Caenorhabditis elegans: one gene and its partner. The protein of the gene in region 2 interacts with the protein of the main gene of each other region in a pairwise test. Each region holds a gene or a part of one and is shown on either strand. Other genes may lie near its edges. The genes, in order: slfl-5 and F46G10.1.

Region 1 (5,469 bases), on a different chromosome or scaffold from region 2:
ATATAGTGATTTTAAAAGTTTTTACTATTGGCGTTTCACCAAATTTAAAATGGACTTTTAGTCGTTGAACAAAGTTGATATTTACAATAGAATTATCTAAAAAGAACCAATTATATCCTTTGTCGTTGATCTATGATTTCATTTTAAGTGACAATTATTGAGTCAGTGAGCAAAGTAACAATTTGTAACGACTATATTTACTCGAACTGTGTTTCTATTTACTTCTTGTAGACAGTATATAAATGTCTTACAAGAATCACTCTGAATTTTGTGTTCACAATGTTTTCAATTACATATATTGCTCTTTCTGTTTTCTTTTTGATTCATTGCTCCGATGCTTTACTCAATGTTATCGGAAGCACTCAAAGTGTTACTGTAACGGGAAAATTGGTTTGTGAAGGACAGCCAGCCAGTGGAGTTCTCGTGAAGATGTATGACGATGGAACGAGTAAGTTATTATTTGGAAGAACTGTTTTGAAACAATTGATTTTTTCAGTATATGACTCGAAATTAGGTTCGACGACCACCTCATCTGATGGAACATTTTCTGTTTCTGGAACATATACAGATATTTTAACATTGGATCCAAAAGTGAATATATATCATAGTTGTAATTACAATGGACCATGTTCAAAGAAAGTGACAATCAATATTCCTGATTATGCAGTTGCATCTGGAAGTAGCTCGACTGATAATTATGATATTGGAACTTTGAACTTAGCTAATCAGTTCAGTGGAGAAACCACTGATTGTATCCATTGAATGTGTACTTCCTAATAAATTTGTTTCTAGAATAATTGAAATGGGACATCTAGGAAGAGTGAATTCAGTTCATTTTTAAAATTGTAACTAAAAAAGCAGTAGCGCAAAAAATGCTACAAAAAATGAATAGAATGAGTGGGGGCACCTGGAAGAAGAGAAAAAAGAGGATCTAGAGTATTTTTGGAGACAAAAAGGTTCACTTAGTGAACAAATATTCAGAATTGTACAATTTCAACTATGTACAACTATTATCAACCCGGAGCAAAATGTAAACACACGGGTACCTAGGAGGAGAGGGCAAAGAGAGAGAGAGTGAAAAAAGACTACAAAAAAGAGGTCTACACAAAATATACAAGATAATTGGGAGGGGGGGGGGGGGGTGGCAGTAAAATTTAGAGATTTTCAGACTAACAATTATCATTGGGTGCACGGAAATACTTTTAATACTTCTCCCATTCCTTTGGTTTTTCCTTGACGAAGAATAATTGGTGATCCTTCACGAATGACTTCTGGTTGATAGGCGAAACACATTTTAACTACAGCCCATTTTCCTGGACGGATGCAGTCTGCATCGTCGATGTGAGTAATAATGGCAGTTGTACAGACACTTCCGATAAACACTGAAAAAGTTCATAAATTATTTCAGAAAAAATCAAAACTGAAAGTTGAAATGAGAAAAAGTACTCACCTGTGGCTTGAAATCCTTCGCATATGTATTTCGTCGAGTGACACAGCAGTAAAAGATTGGCAGTGAATTCGTAACAAACTGGTGGTTGATGATCGATTTCAGCAAGAACCATTCCCTTTAATGAAAATAATCAATATGTTTCACATTTCGAATGATTTTTCTGTGGAAAAAAATACTTACCCTTCTTAGACTGACACCGTCTGGAAGATTCAAGGATATCGATGCAGCTTCACCAGGATTAACACATCCTACGGCTTGCCGGCTTCTTCGAATCGACCCGACAGTAATTTTTTCAAAAGTTCCATCTTTCATGGGTCCAACAAGAACATCTGCTCCTTCATGCAATTGTCCTTCAGATAGCATTCCTCCAACTACTTGTCCAACATGAGGCACATTATATAGTTCCTCGATTGTGAAAAAGGCTGGGAGTCCAACTAGTTGAATACGTGACTCTGCAGTTCCAGCTGTAGAAAGGCAATTGAGAAGTGTTCTGAGACAACGAAAACCTTCTCCGCTCACTGAACTAACAGCAAGAACTGGTACGATACTACCAACGCAGAGTTCTTGTGCCGCCTTCACTGCGTCTCTTTTAGTTTTCACTCTTTTCTCGCGAGCTGTCATCCCTGCTTTCGCAACAAGATTGGAAACATCTTTGATGATTTTCTTAAGTCCTTGTCGATCGACTAGATCCATTTTTGTGATCAGTACAAACATTGGAATGTTTAAAGCGGCAATTAATCCAAGATGTTCACGAGTGGCCCACGTGATTCCTCGATCGGCGGCTACAACAAGGCAAGCGAAATGAGGAGTGTATCCGGTTAATCCATGAATTGTCGTTTTCTGATATTTTGCGTCTCCAGCCAGATCGATAAGTGTTACAAGTTTTGAAGACTTCTCCACCATTTCTTCGAGACTATTTTGTGCATAATTGACTAGCTGAAAAAAGTAAAAATTAGATATTTATAAATAAATTTAAAAAAATCGAATTTAAGTTTTTCAAATAAAATTTTTCTAAATTCATTGTTTTTGTATTCAAAAGTGGAGTAGAATCATTTTGAAATTTTGTTTTGAATGAAAAAAAAATTGACCGTAATAATCGATTTTAATTGATTTTAAAAGTTATAAAATCTTTCTAACTTTTTAAATTTTTATTTTTGATAATTGGGCGGGAATTCAAAAACAGATTTTTATTTTTTTATTTTTGCAAAATTGAAAAAATTATAAAAATTTTATGATTTTTTGAAACAATTATATTCGGTATTACCGTCCATTTTTTTAATTATTTAAATCAAAAACCCTAATAAATAGGATCCAACTTTAAAATTTTCAATAAAGAAATTATCTACAATTTAATCAGTTTACTGTTTTTTTTTTTAAATATTTTCAAGCATATTTTAACCCATTCTGAATGTTTCGAAAAATTTCTAACCTTTCCACGATTATCGAAGCCAATGACATCATTACAGACAGAACTGGTTTTTCCTGTTCGCACTTCGTGTGGAAATCTGAATATTCCAATTCTTGCTTTTCCGTTTCCGTCGTCCAGACAACCCTGTGTTAACACTCCACACAGTGTTGATTTTCCGACATCGCATCCTCCAACGACAGCAAGACGAACTTCGATGAATTGCTGGCTTTCAGGAACCTTTCGGACAAGTACCTAGAAAAATAATTTCATTTAGATAAAATATGACTCAATAATAATTACCTCGACTACAGTTCTCCGTGAATTTGATCCCTTAACAGTAACGTCTTTCTCGGTCAAAATAACCATACTCGCCCCAAGAGCTTGGGCCATCGTTCTCAAGGTCCGAAGTGAATCATTCAGTTCCTCGTCTGTTAATCCAGACATTATTCCACCATCCTCAACGCCAATTTCATAAATAGCCTCTCCTTGACCCTCACGAAGACGCCATTTCATTTGAGTGATCAGATGTTGTATACGAGATGTCGTTGGATTTACTAATTTTGCTTTGTACTCAATATTTCCAAGCTCCGTTTCAGGTGGCAATCGGTTTTCGGTGTCGGAGTCGGAACATTCATCGTTAGTTGGCAGTGAAGAGCTGAGAAGTGTTGGTCCATTTTTAGAGTCCGATATTGATTGTCGTCTGTAAAAAATAATATAATATACTACCTTAAATGATTTGGCGACATTAAATAAATTGAATTGATTTTATATCAATGTTTTAGAATTGATTTATTTTTTATAAGGAATTTAAATAAATGAATTTTGATTTTAGAAATAAAATTTTCAAATGTTAACCACACAATATTTATCGTACTCACCTAGTTTTGTAAAGTGGCTGATGATTCTGCTCATCGCAGAAATGTGAAATCATAAAATCCATAGTGAGATTGAGTTGTTTATTATTTTATGAAATGAGATAATCAGTTGGATAACTACTGCTCACGCCGTATTCGATCTATCATTCGATTCTCCGATTCTGGAACATCAAATTTTAATCATAGGGAGAGAGGTTCGGGTACTTGAGAAAAAAATGTCGTGTTTCGAGAGGTTTTGAAAAGTCAGTTGTTAACTGGTTCGGTCAACATGTAGAGATTGTAGAGAAATATGAGAACTTAGAGAATTGACGTATGAAGAGAAAAAAGTGGGAAAGGGGAGCCGCTGTTGTTTTCGAAAGAAGAAAATAAGACAGAAAAAATCGGAGAGGAACATAACAACAAGTTAAGTTGACTTTTGAACTGGAAATTTGTCAATATTGAAAAAAGGAACAGTGAGAAATATCGATTTCCACGTCGCTCGATTCTATGAAAAGAAATTATGCACACACAAGCTTCACAGTGAGCATGCTGAATGATTGAGCAAATACATGAGAGAATAAGAGAGGAATGAGATGAAAAGAAGCGTTCAAATCAAAAGAAACCAGACAAAATGGCGATTTTTTACGGGAATATGAACCTACTGATTGGCAGTGGACAGCTGGAAGAATAAGAAGATACTGAAGGAAGGTTGAAGTTGAAGCTTGGAAGACAGATGATGAGAGAGAGGAAAACCTGTTTCTTTTTGATTACGATCGGACGGAAATGAGAAGGAAGTAAGTGTTTTCACACGTAGGTGGGCATTGAGATCTTTGAAGGTGCATTCGACAGGTTAATAATCATTCTAAATACCAGGTGACAATGGAGGATACTTTTAAACAGTAAATATATTGGAATAAAACATAAAAGTTAGTCTTACTCAGAATTTCTAAAATTTCAGCCTTCTGGAACGAAAGGTAAAATCATAATAATAATACAAGTGGGGCTGTTAGTAGCCCTAAATACAAGTAAAATGACCGAACACAGCCGTTAAAGAATGTTGCAGAAAATTGCGAAATATTTCCTTACTCTTAAGAACAACATTCGATGTGACGCAATATGATGCATTTCCTTAGACAAAAACGTTCAGTTCAAAATAAACAACAATAAAACCGTTTGTACGATTTCTAGAATACGAGTTTATCAGTTGTTCGGAAAATATCTTATCAATCGTTTGACTGATGTTTTTTAACCATGTGAGAATTTGAAAAAAAATTTCATGATTGCCAAAAATTAAAATAAACAGGAAGCTTTTACCGAGTTTTCGTGATTTTCAGAATGAAGAAATTAATATGAAGCTCAAAATCAAAAGCAGAGGGAAAAGAAAAAATCGAAATCTTCTTTCGGTTAAACAACACGCGCTTGCGGAACTTCGGAGCATCGTATTTTGTTTTTGCGCTCTATTTTTGAATCGGAAACTGTTTTTTTGTCAGTTTTCGAAATTGTTTTTTTTCTGTTTTTTTACTTCATGCAAGAGTTTAACTTTACGCAAAAATTAATTAAAAATACGCAGAAGGCCCACTTTACACAGGAATTAATTGAAAATACTCAGGAATTTCACTTTACTTAGTCCTTTTTCCAGAGTTTCCAACGGAATCAATATATTAATTTAATTTCGCAACATTTTTCTTTGAATAAACCTATTTGCAAATGAGAATGTTTCAGATATTTGCTTATCGAAGCCTGGGAATTGCTTATGG
Region 2 (4,055 bases):
TCTTCTGTTTTTTTAAATATAAATGTCACTCTAAAATTTTAACAAATTGTTCAGGCAGTTAAAGGAGGACTAACGGTTCGGACGATTTTGAACGTATCGACCCAAAATGGGCCCAAATGAACGAATTTTGTAATGAAATTGCTCAAAAAATTTTCAAAAATGTTTTATGGCGGTTCAAAATTTCGAAAAAATGACACTGATTTTAGCCAAAATCTCGAATTTTGCCCATTTTTCCGTGTCACATCTGTCCGAAATTGCTTTTATCATCCTTTATTGCAAAAATCATCAAAATTGGTTAGCTATCGGCTTTAAATGTACCTTAATCAAGGAAATTAAATGAGATAAACTACCAATATATGCAATAAAGGGTGATAATTCCAAAAAAGCAATTTCGGACAGATGTGACACGGAAAAATGGGCAAAATTAGAGATTTTAGCTAAAATCAGCGTCATTTTTTCGAAATTTTGAACCGCCATAAAAAATTTATGAAAATTGTTTGAGCAGTTTCATTACGAAATTCGTTCATTTGGGCCCATTTTTGGCTTATACGTTCAAAATCGTCCGAACCGTTAGTCCTCCTTTAAACATAATTTCGAAATCAAATATTATTTTTGAAAAACATGAAAATGCCAATCAAAATCTCATATTGTTTCGTTTGGTGTACGGTAACTTTTATTTTTGTTGTTTCAATTTAGCAGCCTTGTTTTAATCAAGAAAATAACTCATGAAAACGTGAAATTAGTTATTCGCACTTCTCGTGCGAGATTAAACAAGTGACATTTTTGCAAATAAAAAATTATTTTCGAGATTAGATTTTCGGCCAGAAAAGTTTTACGGCGGTATAAAACATAATTTGATAGTGCTGCAGCCGCACATATTGTGAAGAAAATAACAAAAAAAAAACAAAATAATTGCCAGTGAAATATCAATTATAATTGACTTTCATTTGACTTTATGATCTGGAACATCTTGTTATCGTCATTGAGCTGCAAGCTACTCCTGAACAACTTTCGTAGTTCTGAAATTGCAGGATAAATTTTTTTTCAGTGAACATACATAGCAGACTGAGCTGTTGGCACGAAAACCGGCAACTGTCGATTTTTTTCCTACCGCTTGTTCAAAAACTGTGAAAAAAACAAAACTTTAAAAACAGAATGGCGCCAGTTAGAATAAGCATACAAGTGCAAAAATTACTATTCAAAAAATGAAAGGTTGTGTTATTTTGAGAGTAGTCAAGTGGTGAATGAATACTTCAATTAAATTTTGAAATTATACGCAAATCATGCGACGGCACTGACCAATCAGCGTTACGTAAAGGAGACGACATACTTCGGTGATTGGTTGGCGGTTTCCTGAATAACACGTGTTTCAAAATTACATTGACATATTTACGGTTTGTCCAAATTCGTAAAATTGGCACTCTTGATCATATTTCTTTGCCTGTTTTTTTTGGCATTTTTCAGAGCGAGCTTCAAAAAAAACTATTCAAATTTTGCCACGCTTTTAATATTATTCACTTTTTCATTTAAATTTTAGATCAATTATAAATGGTTATTATTGAGTGATAACAATATACTTTTTCTAAACACGAATAAGATTTTTTTTTCGAAAATAGGTACCTTTATATGTTTCAAAAGTGTTGAATCACACGTGTTGCCAATCTGAAAATGGGATGGTATCTTCTTATTGACACAAGGTGAATTCAAAAATTTTCCTAACGTCACTGATAACACAACCGACCATTGAGTTTTATTACCTCGATTTTCACTTGCTCGCGTTTTTCACAGGACACGCAGGTTTGACTAATAATGCTAGCTAGAGCTTCTCTTCATTCAAATGGTGTGGATATGCATACCGCTGAGTATGCTGATTATAAAAAGGTGGGTCTTGAAATTGATTCAATTTTCTAATAAATTGTACAGCTAATGAGAAAATTGGAGTATTATAAAACTATGTTTAGGCTGAAGTCACATCTCATCATGCTCGAGACATAGTGCATATTAACGCAGGCGGCACAAGGTTAGTTGGGAATTGAGAACATGAGATCTGAGAATTTAACGAAGGCTTCAGATTTACTACACTTTACGACACTTTGGCACAGTCAAAGTCGTCATATTTCCTCAACTTTATCCGCATCGACCGCACCAGTGGAAAAATTGTGCTTCTTCAACAGAGAACTATTGTGGGTGACAATCTAGAAATAAATATACATACTAATGAGGATGCAGAATTTTTTAATTGGAGACTATTAGGTTATCTAGAAGCTAGCTGAAAGCCTAAATCCTACTGAAAAAACTTCCAACAATTTTTACTTGTGCTTTTTTCAGAATTATTTTTCTGAATTTCAAGAGAATGCTTTTAATCCTCATAGCTCTCTCTAAAAAAATTTCAATACAAATTTCAGCGTGATGAGTCAGGAGCAATCTTCGTGAACCGGGACGGGCGTCTGTTTGCATTCGTTCTGCAATTTATGAGAGACGGAAAGAACACTGTCCTGCCAAAAGATAAAGACGTGTTAGCACAGCTCAAAGTAGGTGTTTCATGTTTAATTTCATCGCCTTCTTAACCATGCGTTGTCATTGATAAGCACAGTTGCTTGTTTACTAGAGGTACACCGAGGTGTGCCTTGTGTTTTATGGGTATTTATGTGTTGGCGATTGTGTGTCACGAATATTGGTATACCTAATCAATTGGCATGGGTAGAGAAAATTAAGTTATACAATTTAGTCATGTGCAGTTACTATTTTATGATATTGTTAAGGAAAAACAATATGTTTTGAAAAATTGTTTTTTCCAGGAAATATCATTCAAAAATTAATTCAAAGTGCAATATGGAAAAAAAACCAACAAATACAAGATTAACACTAATGTCAACTATGTCAACAATCATAAAAAATAGAAACTATGAGATTTATGCAAAAAATGTGTAGCATACATAAGTGTGTATATTAAATGAATCTTGAAACACCAAATCAATTTATTGAAAACAATCACAACTTTTAATTTGAAAATAACTCCAATGATGTATGAATTGACAATACATATAAACTTCCCTTATTTTTTCCAGCGAGAAGCAGACTTCTTTGGCATGGAGGTATTCAAGTACCTAATTCAAGAGACACTTGTTGACATTGAAAAGGAACAACGTGCCAACACCAATGATATTGTGGATATTCGCAATTCGGTGAACCAAATTGCGAACAACACGTACTACAATAATGGAGGACGCATTTGAAGTTTACTTCCTCTTTCTGAATAACTTTGTTAATGACCATGAAATAACGGAAATAAAGTGCAAAATTGTGTGTACTTCTGAACGAACTTGTTGAATTTGGTGTTCGTTGAAAATTGACTTGGGGGATGGAGTAATCATATTCAAATTATTTTTAGTGATCCTTGTGAGAACATTTGAAACCAAAAAGATGTGCTTAAAATTCTGAACACTTTTAAATTAAGAAAAATCGGTAGAATCGAGTTATCGAAAATCAAAACGTCTTACTAAACTTCAATTACATTAGCCATAAAAAACTATAGAAAATATCGATTTTCAAAAACTAAATTATATTCAATCTTTTACAGATTTCTGAAAACCAAGTCAAAACTGATAAAAGATACAACTCGGAAAATTGCTCTAAATCAGCAATGTGGAGAAAAATATTTCGTTTAATATTTTTGATTGGGGGGGGGGACTTTATTGGTTGTCCTGAATCTCTCTCGAAAGTTAGTTTCCTCGCATAAATTAGTCTTGCGCTCTTAATTAGCATTGTTTCTGAGCAATTTTTTGTGTCTTGAAGCCTGCGTCGCTGCAGTTGCAACTGAAAACTAATACAGATGTTTTCGTGTACTGTTTATTTTTTGCCTGCAGTTAAAATAGATCTATTTACTTGTTTTGTGCAGACTTAAAAAAGTAACAATGTTCTGTTCAGTGTGCTCAATAGGTAAACAACTTTTTTTGAAAGTTTGTTGAAAGATACTTAAAAAATTCGAGCTCCATGTGAACATGCGCTATGAAACGTTATCTTGCCATGAATTAATCGTTATTATTATTAAAAAT

Evidence for each region.
Region 1: the proteins of F46G10.1 (region 2) and slfl-5 interact in a two-hybrid assay, tested with the Caenorhabditis elegans proteins (2 studies listed by BioGRID).

Annotation. Positions count from the first base shown.
Region 1 is NC_003283.11:12,241,151-12,246,619, forward strand, and holds slfl-5 (Tr-type G domain-containing protein), read right to left. Parts: upstream 3,895-5,469; 5' UTR 3,881-3,894; coding exon of another isoform or gene 3,851-3,880; 5' UTR 3,799-3,850; coding exon 3,737-3,798; intron 3,559-3,736; coding exon 3,159-3,558; intron 3,111-3,158; coding exon 2,880-3,110; intron 2,387-2,879; coding exon 1,631-2,386; intron 1,566-1,630; coding exon 1,451-1,565; intron 1,383-1,450; coding exon 1,180-1,382; 3' UTR 821-1,179; downstream 1-820. Other genes in the region: ttr-22 (Transthyretin-like family protein), read left to right, coding at 280-448, 497-762; rad-50 (Zinc-hook domain-containing protein), read left to right, coding at 4,496-4,506, 5,435-5,469.
Region 2 is NC_003284.9:13,309,481-13,313,535, reverse strand, and holds F46G10.1 (BTB domain-containing protein), read left to right. Parts: upstream 1-1,780; 5' UTR 1,781-1,809; coding exon 1,810-1,881; intron 1,882-1,961; coding exon 1,962-2,020; intron 2,021-2,064; exon of another isoform or gene 2,065-2,071; coding exon 2,072-2,183; intron 2,184-2,405; coding exon 2,406-2,531; intron 2,532-3,068; coding exon 3,069-3,236; 3' UTR 3,237-3,309; downstream 3,310-4,055.